Alligator mississippiensis: one gene and its partners. The main gene of each other region encodes a partner of the protein of the gene in region 2 in a complex. Links are inferred from orthologs where the notes say so. Each region holds a gene or a part of one and is shown on either strand. Other genes may lie near its edges.

Region 1 (6,832 bases), on a different chromosome or scaffold from region 2:
GTGTCCTCAGTCAGAGGCATTTTAGTAAGGAAATGTTCAATGAAATCGTGAGGGGTCACTGCAGCCAGATTCCATTTCAGCTTATTCACCAGAAGCAGCTCCATTTGCTACAAAAACAAAGAGGAAGGGGGAAAGGGAAGTGAAGAAGAAGGAAAATGTGGTTAGAAACTCTATGTATAAATAGCTTAAAATGGTATCTAGCTTTGAATTGTGCTTATCTGATTATGGAATCCTAATGCACTGGCATCTCTTTGATGCACTGGCTACTTGGGAGACTGATAGAGAAAATACTTTGTGCTAACCAGTGCTGCTCCCATGCTGTCAGCAGCGTTCACAAGCAGGATGGTGCCTAGATGTGGCTACCTTTAGGTATGAAACTGCTTAGGTCCGTTCCACCTCCACCCCCACACGTCCCCAGCACCCAGCTGCTCTGAAATGAAGCATGTGAACTATATGGTCCAAACGCAAGAGGGCGCCAGCCACCCATATTTTTTTGCCTACACTACTGTACTTTCAGTGAGGTAATAGGCAAGGATTTCACATATTAGGGATTTGCTCAAATTAAACTAAGCTGGCTCAGTCCTAACCAGCGACAGGAAGGGGGTGCAGAGGACCCCCACATGGCTCACGTTACTGGAGAGGGGAGGGGAGGAGGTCCACTCTCCCTCTGGGGGGGTCTACTTTTTTTTTTTTTTTTTTGAGGTAGCCCTGCAAGCTACATTTGCTGCTGCCATGTGCAACAATGAAGTTACTGGGAAGTGAAGGCTAATTCTCCTGAATGAATGGTGCACAATTATGCAGAGGCCCTATGGGCAGATGTGAGAAAGTCAAGAGGTCCTATGGGCAGATGTGAGGAAGTCAGCCGCAATTTCTTCTCTGGAGCCTTTTTTGTCCCTCCCCCCCTTTCCCGATCTTGCTTCCAGTGGTCTGTCTGCATTGGGCGGGATTGGATTTGGGTCTCCCGAGGAGGTGAGCCCCAAATTACCAGTAATTCGTCGGGCCTGATGGAGTTGTCGGTGTAAATGCACAGCTTCTCTGCCGTCAGCGGGATGGTTTCCTTCATTTTCGAAGCCACGAACATGCAGGTCGCTCCCAGCAGCTGCAACCGGCTCTTCTTGAGGGGCTCGAAGGACAAAAACCTGTCCAAGTAATTCATAGCCAAGGGGAACACCTCCTCTTCGCATTTCTGCTCCTCACAAACCTGCCAAACCAGAGAGGTCGTTGAAAGGAGGCCTGGCATCAATAGGGAGTCAAGCCCCACTCCCTTCCCTCCCCCTTTGCGCTCGGGCTGCAGGGCTGAATATTGGGGAGAGGAGGGGATATGTGAAAATGCCCTGAATAAAACCCATGTGGGAAGGGGGAGGATGAGAGGAACAAAACTGAGTGAATGGGGGGAAGGCTACGTAAAAATGTGGGGTTAAAAGAAAAAAAAAGGGGGGGGTCATTCCCCTGGATCGATGGAGTGGGGGATCCACAGGACCCGGTGGATCCCAGCCGGGTGGGATCCCCTCAGCAGCGCTGCCAGCCGCCGGGGGCGAAGCCGCACTCCAGACACAAAGGTGGCGTCCGCCGGCCGCATTTCCCCAGACGTCATCTTTTCAAAAAATATTTAAAAATATTTAAAAAATCTCCCGAGCCTCCTCAAGGGCCTGAAAATGCCCCTCGGGGGCGGCTTGACCCAGCCGGCTCGGCAAGCCGGGCGGGGAGGCCGGCACGGCGGTCCCCCGAAAGCAAAACCCCGGGTCCCCCCCGCTCCCCTCCTCCACCCGGCCAGCCAGCCGCGTGCGGCGGCAGGGACCGCGCGGGCCGCCTTCAGAAATTAATTAAAAATAGTCGGCGGGCGCCCAGCGCGGAGGGGCGGCCACCACAATGTGGCCCGGGCTCCGGGGGTCGCGCTGCCCGGGCCCCACGGCGGCGCCCGCCCGCACGCCCGTCCCCAGGGGGCTGCGGGCCGCCTGCCCCGCGCCGGACGCCCCGGCCGCAGCGCGCCTCGCGGGGGCACCGCGCCTGCAGCCCCGCGCCGCCGCCAACAAAGGGCCAGGGCCCGGCCCCCGACCCCGGCCCCCGACCCCGGCCGCTTTGCAGTATCATTGATTACCCCCCCCCCCCCAAAAAAAAAAAAAAAAAAAAAGCGAGGGAAAGAACAAAGATGGCGCGGAATACTGGCACGGCCGGCGCCTGCATACGTGTACGGGGATATTCATTTAAAATTAAAAAAAAAAAAATCCCCCCCCCTTAAAGAGGGGGCGAGGGGGGCAGGACGCCAGAGATGGAAACTTTTTTTTTTTTTAATTCTGATTTTATTTGGGGGAAGGCGGGGAGGAGGTGGATTTGCAAGCTGGGGGGGCATGAAGACCCCTTCAATGCAGCAGGCTTGGGGGGGAGCCGCGCTGCCTTGATGGTGCGGCTGGATCCGGAGCCGGGCACGCTGCTGCCTCCCTCTCTCCTTCCCTCTCTCCCTCCCTCCCCGCCGCGGGATGTCCGGCGCTGCTGTAGGGTTTCGGGGGTCTCCCGGGGTCCATCCCCTCCGGGCTCCGGCAGGAGCGATGCCCCGGACATACGCACCTCCAGCATCCAAGTGGCCACTATTTTCCGCATGTAGGGCAAGATCTCCTTTTGCACGCACTTGAAGTAGAAGCCCGAGGGCGTGCAGGTCTCCTCCGCCTTCAGCATGGCCAGCAGGACCCTGTCATTCAGTAGGTTGGCGTCTAGGTAGGCTCTTCGGATGGTTTCCACCTCGCAGCACAGCAGCTGATGTTCCATGTCTGCCTCCTTCTTCCACAGTCAGGTTTCTAAAGGACTGACTCAAGGCTCGTCCCTCTCTCTCTCTCTCTCTTCCCCTTCCAGGAGTCCCTTGGATGCTGCTTGCTGCTACTGCCGCTACAGCCCTCTGGAGGCTGAAAAACTTTCCAACTTCCAACAAAACTCTCCTGTATAGTTTAGTCCCTGTGACGTGACTGTTGTTAAGCAGAGATCAAAGCAGCGGAGAGAATGAGAGAGAGAGAGAGAAGCCAAAAGCAAGGGGCAGAGCCCTAAAGCCATCCCATAGGCTTGGAGTCCTTCCCCTTTGCTTAGCTTATACAGAAGCAGGGTTTAATGCAAATGCAAATGAGACAAGGGCTTGCTTTCTTCAAGGGCAGGGGAGAGGTGGGGGAAACCCAAATTGTCTCTTCAGTGTATCATGCATAATTTTCAAAATGGAGAGAGTTGGGCAGTGGGAGCTAAATGATGAATGGGACTAGGCCACACACAGACACACGCGGATATGGACACAGGGGGACCCTCTTCAGATTGTTTTATTGGGGGGTAGAGGGGAGGCAGCACCATAGTGTTGTTGTTGTTGCTATTCTTCATCGTTTGTCATATTTCAAAGAAACTCCTATTTAAAAGCACTCCCAACCTGGAATATGCACAGGCGGAGCATTAATAATCCAAAGGCAGACTTGTTCTCCATTTTGCCTTCCTGGTTTAGATTTAGATTATATCTTTGAAAGTTAAAGGAATGTAGGATCTCCTTCCTTGGGGTGGGGGGCTTTTAGATTTTACCCTGCCAAAAGGATTGGGGGACACAGGGTGAAATCCATTTAACCCTAACCAAACAGCAGAGCAAAGCTCCACACCCTGCCCCCGCTACACGCCACCACCCAGAAAAAAAAATCTCAGCAGTGCAGCAAAATGGTGGCCAGCATTTCCTCCCACACAGTTAACACCTAAAAGAAGAGGAATCCAAGGGAAGGTGCCAGGATCCAGGGAGTTACCCAGGGGCCGATCCCAAGCTCACGGAGAGGGGGAGTCCGTCCTTCCACAGCTTAAATTTTTGTTGATGTGGCTCCAGCAATAAGTTGTCAGTTCCTCAGCAGATTGAGGCTGTCTATATCTTTAATATATTTTGGGGCAGGGGAATGAAACACTTGTTTATCTTCTTTCCTTTGAACCTAGATATGTTTTTTGGGGGAAAAAAGGGATCAAGCATTTGGACTCCATGTTTTTTGGGCTCTTAACAGCAAAGCTCATGGCAAAACTCACAGTGACTTCAGTGGAACTAGAATTTCACTTGTTTGGGGGGAGACTGTAGATATATCTGTAGATGTACCTTTCCTTTGCTGGAAAGGTTTCCCACCTCCTAATGTGGGCACGTAACAATAAATAATAGGTCCTCAGACCCCAAACTGCCGTAGCACTCCTCAGAGCATCATCAGTATGCTGAAATAGATGAGCATGGTGGCTGTAGGTGGCTTGCTGGAGTGTTAGGTCCGGGTCTCCCCTTCAAGATGTATAGTGAGCACTAGTACAGATCATAGGGCATAAAGCTGCAGCTTCCCACATGTACACAGTGTCTCTTTGTGAGCTCTCCGCATGACGCTTGCCTTTACTTGTATCTTATCTACATGATGATGACATTCAGAGGATCCAAGGAGGATCTAGGCTACCTGTGTCTTCCCCACGTGTGCGCCTCATAACCAGACTTGCCCAGAAGAGTTATGAAAGGGGGAAGCATTAGTGTTCTTTACTCCATGCATTCAAGAAAAATAAAACACATTACTTTTATTCTGGAAGTCTCAGAGGTTTGCACTTCCTTGCAACAAGCAGGCCCTCCATTCTCTTCAAATCGGGCTACCTAGATAGACAAAGTCAGGGGTTTCTACATGTTTCTACCTCCCTCCCCCAGCTCTAAGACATTTCCAGATGTGCAGGTTTCAAGCACTGGTGCAATGCCCTAAGGGCCTCGCACCTCTGGTTCTGGGGCATGTTCTGCTCTGCCAGGAGGGCAGCATTGGTCCCCAAATATGTGCTCGTGGGTCATAATAAATAATAATAATGGGAGCCGATGACCAGCCACCCTTCCCTCTCTTTCCCTTCCCCCAAAGCATTATTTGCTCTATGAAACCCTTGCCCTCGCCATGCATTTGCTTTCTGAAACCAGGCGAGCACTGTTGTTTTTTCATTCATAAAAATCCCCGCCGGTGTGGCAAGAGCCCTTGATTTATGAGGCGGAGTGGTACAGCTTTTCCGGAGCCCCCCTTCCACCTCCTCCACCACAACACCCTCCAGCTGAGACGGCTGCACACACAGCCCGGCTTCTGCTGCGTGTGGCAATATTGCATGAACTAGATCGCCCACTTAAAACAAAATTGGTCTAATTCCTGGAGGGAACCCCCCCCCCCTCTTAAAATGGGCCGCAATGCAAGAGGAAGCTGGAATTAGCATAAGCCAATAGGGGAATAGATCTGTTACCAGGCGGATCAGGCAGATCTGAACCGGGAACTTGGTTGATTTCTCCCTGACAAGACAAAGGGGACTGGTCAAAAGTGCAAGCGCCTGGGAAAAGCGTGAAAGCAGAGGGCGCACCGGTTGGAGGCTGAGTCCGTGCACAAAAGGGTCGCCTTTTCTGGCTGCCACTGATAACCGGGGAGCCTTGCACCGGCACGGGAAGGATCTGCAAGAATAACCAGGGGAACTTGAAATGTTTGTTTTATGTTACATCCGTAATCAAATAAAATAAAGTAAAATACAATAAAATAAAATAAGTCCATCTCAAGAATCGCGAGCTGGGAACGTGAGAGGTTTAATACAGCACCTCTGCTCTATTGGGGGGGGGGGGGACGTTATACAGAGGCATTTAACAAGGCTCTGAAGCCCCCCAGAGAAGGGAAAGCGAAGGAAGGGGCTGCAGCCTCGCCTCCCCCTTGATCGTTCACATGCAGGAAAGACTCGGGAGGAGGGCTCAGGTAGGAGGTATTGGGGTTTGTTTTTTTATGCCCCTCCTAAAGCATCCAGATGGGAGTCAGGTCCCCACATGTTCCGGGCTGGTGCTGTGCCGGCTCCGCAGCGAGCACTTTCGCCCCGGTCCCAGGCGCAGGGACCCGGCCTTCTTTTGTTTGTAAGAATGCCATAAATTAAACAAACCACTTCCCACATGTGGAGGTGGAATCTCACCTTGAGCCAGATACCTGATCGGCGACTTTAAAGGCTTGCTGGCTTCCCCCCCCCCCCCTCCCTCTCCCTCCTTTTCCCCTCCCCTCCTCTAGTCAATGTTTTTCATTGTTAAACCGATTCCATCTCATTGAAAAAAAAAAAAAGCTTCTTCCTCCGCGTAGAGGCTCCGCTTTCACAAGGGCGATTGCTGCAGTTTGCCTAAACCATGCATCGCCTCCTCCCCCCCTCCTCCCCCCCCTTTCCTTCCCCATTCATTGTCTCGCAGGCTACAGTCAAAGCACGTGTTGCTGGTGTTCTTGCTGGCAGTCCCCACTCATGCTCAGAGCACGCTGCACAGAGCTGGGCTGGGGTGGGGGATCTTAATAAAACTCCCAGGCTGGTGAAACCTGCAAGGGGTTGAATGATTGCTCTTGGGGCAAATCCCCCACGAGGCGCAAGAGGCCTAGCAGGAAGATCGGGGACGGCGGGGGCAGTGTTTCCCGGCACACGGGGGGAGATCACCGCGCGGCCCGCCCGCCTTATCGCAGGGAGGGACAGCAGAGCCCCGGACACACGCGCTCCGGCTGCCCGCCCCGACGGAAGCAGCCGCGGAGACATCAAGCGATGAGCTCCCTCCGCAACCAAGCCCTTCTGCCAGCCAGTCCCTTCCCCGGGCTGACTCACAGCCTCGGAGTCGTTGCCCTCCCTCCCCGCCTCCCCACACTTTCCCCGTCAGTAATGATTAACAGGAGGCGAGTTGTGGGGAAGGGGCGCTGGGGACTGTCACGATCAGATCAGTAACCAATAAACCCGATAGTGCCCGAGATCTTTGTATCCTGGACTCGTCGGGTCGCCCCTGCAGCGTGCCCCGGCTCTGGGACCCTTTAGCAAAACCCCATTGGACACGGATCCTTTT
Region 2 (7,309 bases):
GCCGCCTCCCCCGGCCCACGGAAATGGGAGTGGTTCCCTCCGCGCCTGTAAACAGGGCTCGGACACCGAGTCACCAGGTCTGTGGCGCTCGGCTGCGGGAGGGGGAAGGGGAGCCGGAGCTGTTTTCGCGGCCGGTGCGCGGGGCGCCGGCGACTCCCGAAGCTCCCCGCCCCGAGGGAGCGCGCGGGAGCACACAGACGAGAAGAAAAGCAGGAGCCCTCTTCCCTCCACACTTAACCCCTTGGTGCGGCCGCTCGCCGCGGCTCCGCTTCCCCTTCCCTCACCCAAATAAACAGACAGTAGTAGTGCTATTTGCATACACATCATGCTGACGTGTTCCTGGCCCCGTTTACCCCAGCGGGGCTCATTTGTGCTCACTTCTGCTTTCCAGCTTCATCTGCTCGGCACCGAGCATGTCTGTAAACCTCCCTTTTTCTTAAAAAAAACAAACCAAAAAACCTCGATTCCCTTCAAACCGCCAGCCCTAGCCGTCCCAGCCCCTGGCTGCTTCAAAAAAACAAACTCATTAACCCCCTCGGTGCCCTGGACACTCACTACGGTGCCAGCGTATTCAAAATCATCAGCATCAAAATTAGAAGTATAAAAATAATAAATATCAAATAATACACACACAAATAACACTAGTGATGATGATGACCATAGTAAGAAGGGTGCCATCCTATTAAAATCATCATCATCATCACAACAATAATAAAAGCAGCATAAAAATAATAACCAAAAATAATACACAATAAATAATACACATAATGATAACAATGATGATGATGATAGTAAGTAGAAGACATGTTCTGCCCACCCTGAATTTCAATCCAAGTGCTCCCCTTACTTTTTCTCCACTCCTTACTGACTTAAGAGATCTCACCCTGGCTTGTTTGCTGAGCCAGAGACAATGCTAACATTGTCAACCAGCTAAAAAACAAGAAAAAAACCCAAGCAGCAAACAAAAAGGGGAAAAAATACTTGTCGTTTGACTTTTTTTTTTTTTTTTTGGAGCGAGCCTGTTTTGAAACTCATTTTGCCAGCATCTTATTGGGAGAGGAGGCCTCAGCACCTTCTAGCCAAGTGACCCAAGCCACCCCAGCCAGGTTCTTGTGGATAAACAGCCTACAGCCAGGACTTGCTTAGACACCTCCCCCCCTCAAAAAAAAATCTCTCAAGGTTGAGCACAAACAAAATGCAGTTAATATGGCCAGCCTCATCCAAACCCCCTTTGGAAATGCCTTCAAAGAGCAACACACACACACACACACACACACACACACACACACACACGGGCAGGAGTGACTCCACACTTCCCTGCCTGTTCAGATCCGCTATTTCTTTGGGACACCAACATCCTAGTGGGAACCCACCTACACAGTTCACGTTTGATGTTGTCTTGGGCTGGATTTCTTGGGCGTTTGCTCCACTGTGCTGGCACTGTGGGAGTCTTCTGAGACTTCTTCTTCTGCTGTGTTGGCTCTTTTATTCTGAGGAGAGGAGTCTGGGGGGGGCAAAAAAGGGGGGGGGAACCTGGTGTTAAAATACATTTCCTGCTAGATATGCACTCACAGGACCCAGGGTACAGAGAAAAGACCAACCCCCCCCCACCCCCCTTTGACAAGCCCCAGACTGGATGGATGGCAGGAGAAAAAACATTTAAAAAGCTTAGGGGCTGAGTCCTTTCTCTGATTCAAGCAAGATACAAGGTTTCCTGTTTGGGTCGAAAAAGACTTCTCTCCATTTTGGTGCCCAGGGATGCTGTGATCCTGGGGCTGTTGCATTAGGAATCCCTGGAAGTAGAGCCGAGGGAGGGAGGGGACAAGAGGGGGGCAGATGGAGGGGCATCCAGCGTGGGTGGGGGCGAGAGGGGGGCAGACAGAGGGGCATCCAGCTGGAGCACCCAGCCTGGGTGGGGGGAAAACGGAGGAGCATCCAGTTGGGGGACTCAGGTGGGACAAGCCTTTTGCCCTGCAGCAGGGCCAGATGTGACAAAAATAATAATAAGTCAAGCGGATGTAAAAAGAATAGTAAAGTGGGTGTTGAAGGAGAGCGAGGCAGGGCAGACAGAGGAGCATGGGGGGGGGGACCCAGGTGGAAGGGCCAATGCCCCCGCGCCTTTTGCCGTGCATTAGAGGCAGGGGCAGACGTGCCGCAAAGAATAACCACTCAAGCGGGTGCCGGGGCAGGGCAGCATCCAGGGGCGGGTGCCGCTGGCAGGGCAGACCAAAAGCCCGCGCGGCAGGGCAGGGGCAGGTGCGCAAGGCAAGAAGAGGAGGTTGTACGTTACCGTCGGGGGCCGGCCGCTTCCTCTGCCCGGCGGCCGGGTCGGCGCAGGCGGCGCGCGGCGCGCAGCGAGTGTCCCCCGCGCCCTTGCCCTTGGGCAGCCGCGTCGGCCGCGAGTAGAAGTCGGGCGAGGCGCCGGGCTCCAGCGCCCGCCACTCGAAGCGGCCGCGCAGGGGCCGGTGGAGCTGGAAGTCGAAGTTCCACTTCCTCTGGCAGGCCTCCTCCAGCTCCTGCCGGTGCTTCTGCAAGTCCCTGCTCAGCTCCTCGTGATCCACCGGCCCGAAGAGGCTCCTGCAGGCGGACGGCTTGGGGTGCTCCGCCTGCCTCCCCTCCATCCGCTCCAGGGTCGGGCTCCCATTAGAAATGCGCACGTCGGACATGTCCCCCCCGCCCCCCTCTTGCCGCTGGGGGTGGCCGCGCCGCGCTCCCCCCCACCCCCCTTTTTTTCTTCTTTTTCCTTTTCTTTTGAGTGGCCCGCAGCGCGCTCGCGGCCCCGGCCAGCAATCGCATAAGCAGCCCCGCGGGCGGGGAGGGGGCGCGGCGGGGCCCCCCGGAGCAAGGCGGGCAGCTCCGGGCGCGCGGCGAGCGGCGGCCGGTGTCACAGGCGCGGCGTAGTAGCGGGGGGAGGAGGGGGGTGCAAAAGAAAGGCGGAAAAAAACAAGAAAAAGACGAGCCCTCTTCTCGCTTGCCCAATATGGCGATTGAAGGGAGGCTGACGAAGAAGAAAATGATTGACATTCCCAGTCTATTTAAACAGCGCCGCGGAGCCATTGGCTCCAGCGCGGGGCGCCGCCCCATCTGCCCGCCCGGCCTCTCCCGGACAGCCCCTGTTAAGGTGGCCCGAGCTGCTGTGCTAGGGGCAGGGAGGGGGGTTGCTTTGCTTTACCCCTGCCCCGGGCTGAAGGGAAGCTCTGACCCCCTCCTCCTGCCCTGCTCCTCTTCTCTGGGGGGACCCGGGCGCGGGAGCCCGAGTTACGTGTTGACCCGGGGCGGGGGGAGGCAGGCGGAGGTCAGGAGTTCAAGGAAAGCGCCCCGAGGGGAGCTGGGGGTTGCATGTGGGCGCCTCCTTGTTGTGTGGTGGGTGTCAGTCCCCACGGGCTCTCTCGGTGGCCACGCAAGGCTCGCTACTGACTTGGTCAGGTCCGTCTTGCCCCCGTGTCACGCGGCGGGTGCTGAAAAGGGGTCTGAGGTTTTCTCCCCCCTGCTGCACATCTCGCTTGCAGCTTCCAAACTTTTCCCGAGCATGACCCCATTTACAGCCCGATTTCCTCAGCACGGCCTCTCACTCCCAACCCGCAGCAACCCCATCCTCGGATGTGGACACCCCACTGATGTTGCCACCCCATTTGGGGTCACAACCCACAGTTTGGGGACCGCTATCCCAGACCTTAAATGCTAAGATCAAGCCAGACACTTCCCCCCCACCCCCCGATCAGTTTAAAGTCTAGGACAGCTAGGTCTGGGACAGTGTTTAAGGTCTAGGACATCTAAACCCCAAGGCTTTTGGGCCTGGGGCTTGCATGTAGGATACCTTTCTGGATTTGGGGAGTGTCCAAAGCCCCAGACAGATGGGTTTGGGAGGGAGGAGCCACACAGATTTATGGATTGAGCTCCGCTCAGTCAAATGTTGGAACTTGACTATTGGGCTTTGCACAATTGAATTGGAACTGATTAGTCCTTCAACAAGATACAAACGAATTAAGGTCTAAGAAGTTCCGTACCCCTAACTCCCATGCTCAATAGCTCCCGATGCCCCTTTCCTCCAAGAATGTGTCCAATCCCTTTTTGAATCTAGTGGAGCTGCCAGCTTTCTCAGTGTCTGGCAGCAATGAGTTTCACACTTTAATTCCACACTGTGTGAACAAGAACTTACTTTTGTTAGCTTTAAAACTGACTACTTACTAGTTTCATTCGTTTCATAGTTTAACATGTGTTGGGGGGTGGCGGGGGAGGAAGAAGGAACCCCTCCATGCCAGTGCACCTTTTGCCAGCCAGCTAAGGAACAGCGTTTGGGGGCTAGACGGATCGTGGTCACATGTGTCTTCCTCCCCTCAGGGAGAAAGGACTTGGGGGAGGAAGTGGCTTTGAGACTCTCCCTAGGTGGGAACAACCTGGCAGGGGCAAAGCCAGTTTGATTTCTGCAATATTTCTGTGCTCCTGGAATCACAGCTCACGCGTGTCTTCCCCGCCCCCAGGTACAAAGAGGGTAAGAGTGACCCTGGACCACTCTCCATTCCTTCCCAGTTCTTGGTCCCATCCCAAGCCATTTCCTTTATCAGAATGATTGGATGTGGGTGGGGAATTTCTCCAGGGACATAGGAATCATCTCATCCCCCTGGGACAACGAGCACCCCCTGGAGATGCTGCTAGCTGTCGGTGAATGGCTTGAACTTTGGAATGGCTGGACCTTTGAATTGAAGCCTGTGGGGGCCACAGGCATTTTACCCTGCAGTCTAACGAGGGTCCCCTCAGTTTGGTAGGCAAGAGATCATAATTTCCCTATCAGTGGGATTGTATTTCTGCATGACTTCGCAGGGATCCATGTAGCACACAACTTGTTTAGACAAAATCCTTTAAAGAGTGAAAAGCCAATACAATGGGGGTGGGGAGAACTCAACTGGCCTGGTTTTGAAGTAGCTGAGTGTTTTTCCACCTACGCACACCAGTTTGGGTCTAAGCTGCTGAAGCTTCCCCTATGGGTATTCCTGAAGCAACTATATCTTCATCATAATAGTGTTTTACAAGCATGAAGTGACTTTCATAAGGCAACACATGGGGGGTTAGGGGGAGGGTGAAGGGGAAAAAAATCCAGAACATTTTCTTATTTCTCCATTCCCCTCCCACTCTTAACAATGACCAGTCCCAGGGCAGAGAAATTCACATGACTTGCCCAAGGCCCATAGTTTCAGTTCGTTTCAGAGCCAAACATCCCTAGTGTTATGGTCTGTGTTCAGTGTGTCATGCCCAGAATATCTCAGCACTGCCAACTCCAAGTGTTCAAACATTGTGTGTAAAGCCAAAAAAAAAGATAATCATGAGACTGGCTTAAAAAAATATGGGATTTTTTTATCAGCTTTTAGGTAGCAGTTGGTTTGTGTTTTCCAGCTTCTCTCTGCAACCACATGTTCTAGCAACTTACTTGAAAAACAAATGCAGACTGCCACTCATGTCTGCAGGAACTGACGCTTTTTTTTAAAGTATTGCACAACTTACAATACAATTGCAAGAGTGGGCAATACAGGCACCCATTCCACTGTTTTATATCAAATAAGGCTTTTCTTTTCTTCCCCCCCCGGCTGTTTCTGTCTTTGAGACTGTGTTTTAACTTGCACAGCCATCAGGACACAAGTACCATTTTACACTCCTTGCAACTGTCTCAGCTGGAGAAGCAAACTGTGTTTAGTGTGCTGAGCCACATCTGGTATATGCACTTTAAGCCTGTCCAGTTTAGAAAAGTAGTTCTGCAAAGCCAGGTGTGCCCTGCTCAGGACTGCCTGATGCTTCAGTGACAGATGGGGCTGGCGTGCGGGGAACAGACAGGTTGGTTATGAAAGGGTGGTTATCTGGTGAGTGTCCTTATAGTGTCAGGATCTGCCTGTAGTAGAAAACAGCACTGGCTCAACTTCATCACTTGAAAAATCAGAAATACAAGCAATCAGTGGCCGTGTCTGCACGTGCATTAATGCACCATAGTTACTGTGCATTAAGTTTGATACTTATATAACCAAGTACTAAATCAATGAGCAGGAACTGGCACTACTGTGCAATAGCACTGATGCACAGCTTTTTAGTGATGCTAACTGAGCAGTAGCCTAACACTACTGCACAGTAGCATATTAGCATGATGTTTCCTGACATGTTACTGAGCAGTAGTATTAGACTACTGCACATTTAGTGTCTGGTGTAGATGTGCCCAGTATACATCCAGAGACCACTGGTTTTGTTCTGTTTTTATGCACAGGCCCACAAACTGGTTTCTGACTTGGATTCCTCTAGGCTAACACAATACAAACAATTAGGAATAGCAACAACCACTCATCCAAGGGTGGTCAAACCAGCTGAAGTGCATCTAAATTAGGGGACTGCAGCCTTTAACCAAGATAATTTTTTCTTCAGTTCAGCCAGTTTGTTTTTCTAGTAAAATAAGGCCCAGCCCCACCAGACAAGAGACCAAAAGAGAGGCCAAGGCAGGCAGGTGTGGGGCTGAGCCTTGGAACCATTGTACAAGCCTGCTACACCTGGGACATGATTCTTTCTCTGACTTGGACTTGGTGCTCCTGTTAGTAAAGGCTCAAATCAAGTGTAGTCCTGGACCTGGTCCAAGGAGTGCTGGGAGCTGGGAGTCTCCCTGCAATCAGCCCCGCACACCGACCATGTCACCATGACGCCCAGCACAAGGACCTTCCTGAAGCGGTTCCTGAAGGAAGCCGTCCGAAACAAGTACACCAGCGACCAGAGGGCCAAACCCGACCAGGGCAAGGTCTTTGACGTCACCTCAAAGTGGGACTCTAGCAATCACTTCATGCCCAGCGGGAGCTTCACGCGCTTTGCAGACTGGTGCTTCCTCCACCGCGCCTGCCTCAACTGCCTGCCTCTGAACGGGGCTGTCTGCTTCAGTCACCGGGACAAGAGGTGCTGACGGTGTGGCTACTCGGTAGAGACCCTCCCCCACGTGCTGTGCAGCTGCAGGTCGCATGCCAGAGCCTGGCAGCTCCGCCACAATGCTGTCCAGGACTGCCTGGTGAGGGCCATCCTGGCCACAGCAGGGGAGATCTCTGTGAACCGCACTGTCCCGGGCTGCGAGAGCCAGATGCAACCTGACATCGTGATAACCAACAAAGAGACCAAGAAGGTCATGATCATGGACGTAACCCTCCCCTTCAAGAACTAGCACCAAGCCTTCACCGACATCTGGGCTCACAAGTGGGAGAAGTACGTCCCGCTGGCCGACATCCTGAGGGGCTGCGCCTACGACATGACGGTTGACATGCTCATCATGGGAACACTTGGAGCCTGGGACCCC
Region 3 (6,751 bases), on a different chromosome or scaffold from region 2:
CGTGCAGGAGGCCCCGGCCCACGCGCAGGCCCCAGCGCATGGACGCGGCCCCGAGCAGCCGCCGGCACCTAGCCGGGCGCGGGCGGGAGCCAGTTAGCGGGGTCACCTCGAGGGGGCAGCGAGGAGAGCACCAAGCGTCCGGGCCCCAAGAGCCGCCCTCCCCCGAGCCGAGAAAGATCCCAGCAGTCCGGTCCGGCCTTGCGCCCCGGACCTCCCCCGTCCCCGCCCCCGGCGTAGGCCGCCCCGCCCCCTCCCCTGCTATTGGCCAACGAAGATGCCACTCGAGGACGGGGAGGGCCTCGATTGGCCAAAGGCGCGCTCGGAGAACTGCGCTCCCGGAAGGCTGAACCAGCGAACTGGGAAATCACCCCCCCGCCCCGGAGGAATAGATCGGCCCGGCGTGGAGAGCGCCCCGGTACAGGGTTTCCGCAGGGTCCCGGCGCCTCCTACTCCACGCTGGACACGGGTGGGGGGCGTGCCCACGGAACCCACAGACGAGACTGCCACATCCAACCTGCTTTATTGGAGATGGGCTCCGGCCGGGGTGACCACAGATCCTGCGCTGGCACCACGGGGCAGGCAGGGACACTGCACTGGGCTGCTTGTCCTGTTCAGCTCCCAGCCTGGCTGGAGGTAGCACTACGCCCGCAGGGGGCAAGAGGCCGTATTTCCCCCCCCCCCAGCTCTCTGCACTGATGATAGGCAAGTGGTTGCACTCCTGGCTGAAGATAGGGTCCAGGGTGGCAGGGGTAGGGGTGGCAGTGCCATGTCTGTGCTGACAGCAGGCATGGTGCACCCCCAGCCTGAGTCAGAGCCCGGGGTAGCAGCGCAGAGCTGTGCCCCCCCACCGTCACCAGGTGTCCTCTACAGTTGCACCCCTCGGCAGGCAGGAATCGTAGGTGTCATGGAGCCAAGTCCTCCTCCACCAGCCCTGCTAGTCAGGCCAGTCAGGCTGGCACTTCCTCGGCTGCGGACACCAGCCTCAGACAGCGTTTCTGAGCAATGTCTCCAAACACTGAGGACAGGGAAGAGGAGCAGGGAAGGTGCTTTCCAGCAAGAGCCGTGGCAAAGGGAGAGGCAGCGCACTGGGGCAGAGGCATCACTTCTCCGGCTTCTTCGGCAGCGGGCGGCGGAACAGCAGGATATGCGGCTCTGCGGGGAGAAGCAGCATCAGGACCGCGCGGAAATGACTCGCAGACCACACGGGGCAGCCTCTTGCTGCCCAGCATCTGCCCACCTGCCCAGGGAGGAGACGCCTGAGCCCAGCCATGGGCAGAGCCAGGCGAATGGACATGGAGCACCTGGCCCAGCCCACCCCAGTGGCTCACCAGGCTCGTGGATCATGTAGTGCACCCAGCCCTGGCTCTGCTGCACACCCAGGTTGCGCCACTCTGACTCCGACATCAGGTGCGTCCGGGGCACCAGCTTCGCGATGTCCTTGGGCAGCATCACGTGCCTGCAACGGGAGCCACAGCGTCATCACGGCGTGCCCGCACCTGGCCCGGACCCCAAGAGAGGGGCCGAAGGCGTCATCACCGCGCACCAGAACTTTGCAGGGGTCGCAGACCACGGGAGGGGGGGAGCAGTTGGCGTCATCACTATGCGCCGGCACCGAGCAGGGATCAAAGACACCAGGAAAGGGAATGATGGCGCCATCACCACGCGCCGGCACCGAATAGGGGTGGGGGATAGAGCCCAGGAGAGGGGGTGGTGGTGTCACGGGGTCGGCGAGCCCAGGAAAGGGGGTGATGGCGTCATCCCCGCGCGCCGGCAACGGGCGCAGACCCCGGCGGGGGAAGGGGACGGCCGCCCACTCTCACCGGTACTCGAACTCCTCGTCGTCGTACTTATCCGAGTAGTAGATCTGCTTGTGCGCCATGCTGGCCTGCGGGTCCACCCCCTTCCCGACAGCCCTCGCGCGCCCGGCAGTTGCAGGCGGGCCCCGCCCCCAACCGCCGCTTTCAAACGCCGCCGCCCCGCGCGCCCATTGGCCCGGGCGGCGCGAGCAGAGCAAGCCCCGCTCCCCCGGGGCTCCTCGGGAGGTGATTGGTCCGGCTTCACTTCCTCGGTTCGCTCAGTGGCCAGCGCCGCGCACGGGGGGCGGGCACCCCTGCAAGGGCGCTCATTGGTCCAGGTGGCCGTGGCCCGTGGGGGCTCCCTCGTCACGTGACGGGGTCGTTGAGGCCGCGCTGCGGGAGTGGGGCCGGAAGTGGGTGGCGGGGCCCGGGCAAGTGGGTGCCGGAGCCGTGGGAGCGCAGCGGGCGCGAGGCCCCATGGTGCCCCGGTGAGTGCCGCCGCCCGGGCCCCGCGTCCTGCCGGGCCCCCCGAGATCCCCCCAGGCCCGTTCCTGCTGAGACCTCCTGGGGCTCAATCCTACCATGACCACCCCCCCGGGCCGGATCCTGCCGGGTTCCCCCGGGGTCTCCCTTCCCTCTCCGCGACCCCGGGCCGGCCCCGACCCTGTCCCCTGACCCCCTTACCGGCCGTATCCTGTCCATGCCCCCATCCTGCCCCCACATCACGTGTGGGCTCTTGGCCCCCTCCCCGCGGGCCCGTTTCTGCTCAGACCTGCTCCTCCGCCAGCCCCATCCGGGCCCCTCTGTCTCCCTCGGCCGCCCCCTCTCCCCCTGCGTGCGCTTGCTTGCCCTTGGACTCGCCCGGATGCCCCAATTTCCTGCCCCCCCACGACCGCCCCCCAGGCCTGCTCCCGGCATCCCTGGACAGACGGAGACACCAGGAGCTGGTGCACAGTGCTCAGGGCTGCCCATCCATGTCCAGTGCTGAGACGTCCCGGGTGGCGCAGGCGGGTGCCATGGGGCAGGCGGGAAGGGGAGGCAGGGCCAGCGCCTCCCAGCTGCTGGTGCCGCTGAGCCAGGTGTGGGGCCGTGAGCGGGCGCGAGGACAGCTCTGGCCCCGGGGGTCCCAAGTGGGAGTGTGTGCAGGAGGGACAAGGGTGGTCAAACAGTCCCATCCGAGTAATCGGTGATGCGAGGAGGCCGGGGACAGTGGGGGTGTCCTTCCCTCCCTCCCTGGCCGGGCTTCGTCCCGATCACGGCTTCCTCTGGCAGTTTCCCCAGCTCCTTTCCAGCGGGACAGGAAGCAGGACCGGGGTGGCCTGGGCTGCGCCTTCACCTCCCCCCCCCCCTCCCCCGGCTGGGAGCATTCCTGGTGCGACTCCATTTCCTGTTGTTTCCCAGCAGCCTCCTCCCCCAGCCCCAGGCGCTCTCCTGCCTGCTCTGGCAGGCGCCGCATCCGCTCCCTCCCGCTGTCCCCTTAGCACTGGGGCAGGTTGGGGGAGCAGCCCCCCCCCCCAGCTGGAGGGGGTCTGGGCAGTGCTGGGGGGGGCTTGCTCTCGCCCCAGTGCTGCAGGTTCTTGCACCTCCATGGGGGTGAGCGGTCCTACCAAATCACACCTAGGCCGTAGCTGCTCCCTGAGTTGTGTGGGACCCAGGTGTCTCCAGCCCGTGGCCCAGGAAGGACACATTTGTCCCTGAGTTGCTCGTGGTTCTGTCAGTGCGATGCTGGGGGCCAGGGTACCAGAGATCTCTGTCAGGCTGCGGCGTGAGCAAGCCTGTGGGGGGCTGTGACTAAAGGCTGCAGCAACATGGGGCATCTCTTGCCTGCATCAGTCAGCAGCTGAGTTGGCTGTTGTTGCCTCTGGGGCTTAAGGTACAGGAACCTGGAGCAGGAAATAATAAAGGTCTCTTCTCGTGCCTGTAGTAGACATGCTGGTCGTCACCTCCACGGGCAGGGAGCTGCCAGACCTGCATGGGAGGTGCTCGGTTCTGCTGGGCTGGCAGGGAGGCACTGAGCGTGACCCGGAGATGCACGGCTCCCACCTCCTATGCGTCGGGGAGCTGTGGTGCGCCTTGGGCATGTGCTACCCCTCCTGCGGGATGTAGCAGCCAGTCCATGTTCAGGCCCGGCTGTGGGTGTGGGGCCCCTTTCCCACGCAGCCCCTGCCCGTGGCCCTGCCTGGGAGCTTCCTGCCTCTTGTGGTTGTCTTCAGCCCAGTGCTGCATAACCAGCAGCTTCGGCACCAGCGCTTGTGGCAGGCACGCATGTCATGAGTCACCACGGTGCGGGCACCGTTGCTAGGGGCATTTAGCACCCAGCTGCTTGCTTTGTGGAGCCTCCTCTCGCATGTATTTTAAGAGTCTCCCTGGGGTGCGGTGGCAGGATGTGCAGGGAGGAAAGGCTCTGATAGTGCAGCACCAAGCTCGGGGTGCCTCAGCCCCTGCAGCGAGCTGCGTGGGGGTTCTGGGATTGCTCTGGGCAGCTTGAAGGGGCTCAGGAGGCTGCTGTTAGCCTGGGGAGCTGCATGCAGCCAAGGAGGTAGTGCATAGCATAACCATGGCTGCTGTGGCCCAAGGCTGCCATGGAGAAGCTGCAGGCATCTGTGATGCATGGCTGCAGGGCGGGGGCTGCCTGCTGGCTGCCCAGCCCAAATCTGTCCTCTGCTTGCGACCGGGGTCATCAGGTCTCGTCGCAGGCTTGTGGGGAACAGATGCGTGAGCCCCAGCCACACTGCTTGGCCGACTCTGCCTGACCTGGCAGCCATTGCTGCAGTCTGGTGGTGCCATCCATGCCCAGCAGGGTCTGCAGTTGGCAGAGCAAGCGGGAACCACGCCCAGGCACCAAGGGGCCCGTGGGGAGGCAGGGGAGGTGGATCGCAGCACGTGCTAGGGTCCTGCGGGCTACCCCTCAAGCCCTTCTGCCCGCGCAGGCCCCACGCTGCCACAGCTCACTAATGGGCTGGGCTGCTGGGCTGAGCACAGCGAGCGCTGCCTTTCTCCTTGGATTTGTTATGCTCCTCAGGTGGCCTTGGGGGGCTGGGATTCCCAGGTGCTCTGAATGGTATGCACCTGGGGCTGCCATGCAGGGGATCATGTCAGGGCTGCTGCAGTGCCCATGCCACACAGGTGGTTTGTGATGCAACCACTGTGAGGAGCACAGCAGCTCCCACCTCCACCGGGCATCACGCTTAGCTCAGGGCCCTGGTGCCCAGCTGGAGCTGGCATGGGCACGAGCCTGTCTGTGTTTTGGGGTGTCTTCACGGTGGGGTGTGGGCACTGGTCTCGGTGGCAGCCCAGGAGATAGGGTGTTGTTCTGCTTGCCCAGCCTGTCATGATTACTGCCTGGGCAGGGAAAGGTCATGTTATCACAGCTCCTTTGCTGCCATGGGGCCTGGCCAGGCCCTGCCTGTGCAGGTCTGTGGGGCCAGGGCCAGACAGGCTCTTTATCTCTTGCCTCTGGGTGAATCACGTCACTCCAGCTTTGCAGGCCCCAGATAAGGGCACAGTCCTACGAGGAAGTAAATCATGTTTGTTTCCCGCTCTGGGCTGGCGTTGTTCTCCGTGCCAAGCCTGATGGCTCCGGAGAGGGGATGGGAGCAGGGCGGGGGGGCTGCAAGGAGCTGGGCCCCTTCCTCTTGCTTTGTTCTTTGGGCAGGAGCTGTCTCCGCCCTTGTTCCACACAGCTGTGGCTGTCCCCTGCGTGGCCTCCCTCCCCTGGGTCCAGCCAGCCCCCGGCTCCAGCTGGCAAGCTCCTTGCTGCTGGAGCTGCCCTGGCCCTGAGCAGAGTTAGGACCTCGAATGCTGCTTTGGCAACAGAGGGGTGGCAAGTGTCCATGGGGCTGTGGGGGCTCCCAAGCTCACAACTCCAGGTGCTGCCCTGAATCCCACTCACGGAGCAGGGTCTTGGGGTTCAGCCACCACTGCTCCTGCCTTCCCTGGGGAGGCACCGGAGGATGGGCGATGGTGGGCCCTGGGAGGTCCTGGTCCCCACAGTCCAGGAGGTCACCGGGGACTGAAAGCTCATCTCTTGAGCTTGGCTTCTGAGCTGGGCACGTGCCCTGAGGAACCAGGAAGGAGTCCCCAGGCCATCGGGGCTGGAGCACCAGACAGGGGAGGCAGGGCTGCTGCTACCCTGGTGACTCCCAGCAATGGGGCCAGGCTCACAGGACGGCGTTCAAGGCACACTGGAGATCCCGAGACTTATCCCATGTGCAACCTGCCCCGGGCCTCATGCATCACAGCCTCCTGCCCACACAGGATCTGAATGAGGTCCCTGCTCCCCCTGTGTCGCAGAGGACAGCCATGTCACCCGAGGCCAGGCAGGGCAGGCCTGGCCAGGCAGCAGGAGCAATGCCTGCGGAAGCAGGTCAGGCAGGGCCTTCTCCAGGCGAGCAGAAGGGCAGAGGGGATGTGCCAGGCCTGCCAGGCCCCTTGGACAGGGCGGCGCTGGCTAATTCCCTGTTTGTCACCGAATGCAGGTGGGACGCCAGGAGGACAGGGGCTGTTGGTACCTGTAGCCTGTGTGGGGCCCAGCCCAGCAGCTGAGATGGAGTACGTGGTAAGGACGGCCAGGCTGGGCTGCGGTGGAGGGTGCCTGGCTTTGGTGACGGGTTGCCTGCCTTCTCTCACTCCTCTCCTTTCTCTCTGGTGAGGCGAGTGGGTCTGCAACCAGCCGGGCTCCTTTCCACGTCCCCGCCGGTCCCTCCTCTCCTCTCCTCTCCGCCGGATCCGAGCCTCTGCCTGCTTCTTTGGGGCTGTTGTGTGGTTGGCGGTGCCCCAGCACCCTGGTTCAGGGGGCGCACAAGGTCTCTGCAGTGCTGTGAACAGCTCTGGGGCATGACTTGGCCACTGTGCTCCTCATCCTGTACTGTGTCACTTGGGGCTGAGCATTGCTGCTCCGGCACCTCCCCAGGACATGACTTGTGCTGTGGCCGCCTAGCACATGCTCTCTGTGT

What was found.
Region 1: the proteins of CDKN1B (region 2) and CCND1 are in contact, whole or in part, in a crystal structure (PDB 6P8F), measured with the Homo sapiens proteins. The link is inferred for Alligator mississippiensis from reciprocal best matches to the Homo sapiens genes CDKN1B and CCND1. Residues at the interface, in NP_004055.1 of Homo sapiens: Lys25, Pro26, Ser27, Ala28, Cys29, Arg30, Asn31, Leu32, Phe33, Pro35, Val36, His38, Glu39, Glu40, Leu41, Thr42, Asp44, Leu45, His48, Cys49, Met52; in NP_444284.1 of Homo sapiens: Met56, Ile59, Val60, Trp63, Glu66, Val67, Glu70, Glu92, Lys95, Lys96, Ser97, Arg98, Leu99, Gln100, Leu101, Ile126, Tyr127, Thr128, Asp129, Ser131, Arg133, Glu136, Gln139, Met140, Leu142, Leu143, Asn146, Lys147.
Region 3: the proteins of CDKN1B (region 2) and CKS1B are in contact, whole or in part, in a crystal structure (PDB 2AST), measured with the Homo sapiens proteins. The link is inferred for Alligator mississippiensis from reciprocal best matches to the Homo sapiens genes CDKN1B and CKS1B. Residues at the interface, in NP_004055.1 of Homo sapiens: Glu185, Gln186, Thr187, Pro188, Lys190; in NP_001817.1 of Homo sapiens: Tyr8, Ser9, Asp10, Lys11, Arg20, Glu40, Arg44, Gln49, Gln50, Ser51, Gln52, Trp54.

Annotation. Positions count from the first base shown.
Region 1 is NC_081825.1:215,198,906-215,205,737, reverse strand, and holds the start of CCND1 (G1/S-specific cyclin-D1), read right to left. Parts: upstream 3,005-6,832; 5' UTR 2,764-3,004; coding exon 2,566-2,763; intron 1,202-2,565; coding exon 986-1,201; intron 108-985; coding exon 1-107. UniProt on the Homo sapiens protein: Regulatory component of the cyclin D1-CDK4 (DC) complex that phosphorylates and inhibits members of the retinoblastoma (RB) protein family including RB1 and regulates the cell-cycle during G(1)/S transition.
Region 2 is NC_081827.1:137,609,545-137,616,853, reverse strand, and holds the start of CDKN1B (cyclin-dependent kinase inhibitor 1B), read right to left. Parts: upstream 3,018-7,309; 5' UTR 2,667-3,017; coding exon 2,291-2,666; intron 1,505-2,290; coding exon 1,383-1,504; 3' UTR 1,374-1,382; intron 1-1,373. UniProt on the Homo sapiens protein: Important regulator of cell cycle progression. Inhibits the kinase activity of CDK2 bound to cyclin A, but has little inhibitory activity on CDK2 bound to SPDYA. Involved in G1 arrest. Potent inhibitor of cyclin E- and cyclin A-CDK2 complexes.
Region 3 is NC_081838.1:12,771,011-12,777,761, forward strand, and holds CKS1B (cyclin-dependent kinases regulatory subunit 1), read right to left. Parts: upstream 2,087-6,751; 5' UTR 1,880-2,086; coding exon 1,821-1,879; intron 1,457-1,820; coding exon 1,329-1,456; intron 1,153-1,328; coding exon 1,100-1,152; 3' UTR 505-1,099; downstream 1-504. Other genes in the region: FLAD1 (FAD synthase), read right to left, coding at 1-40.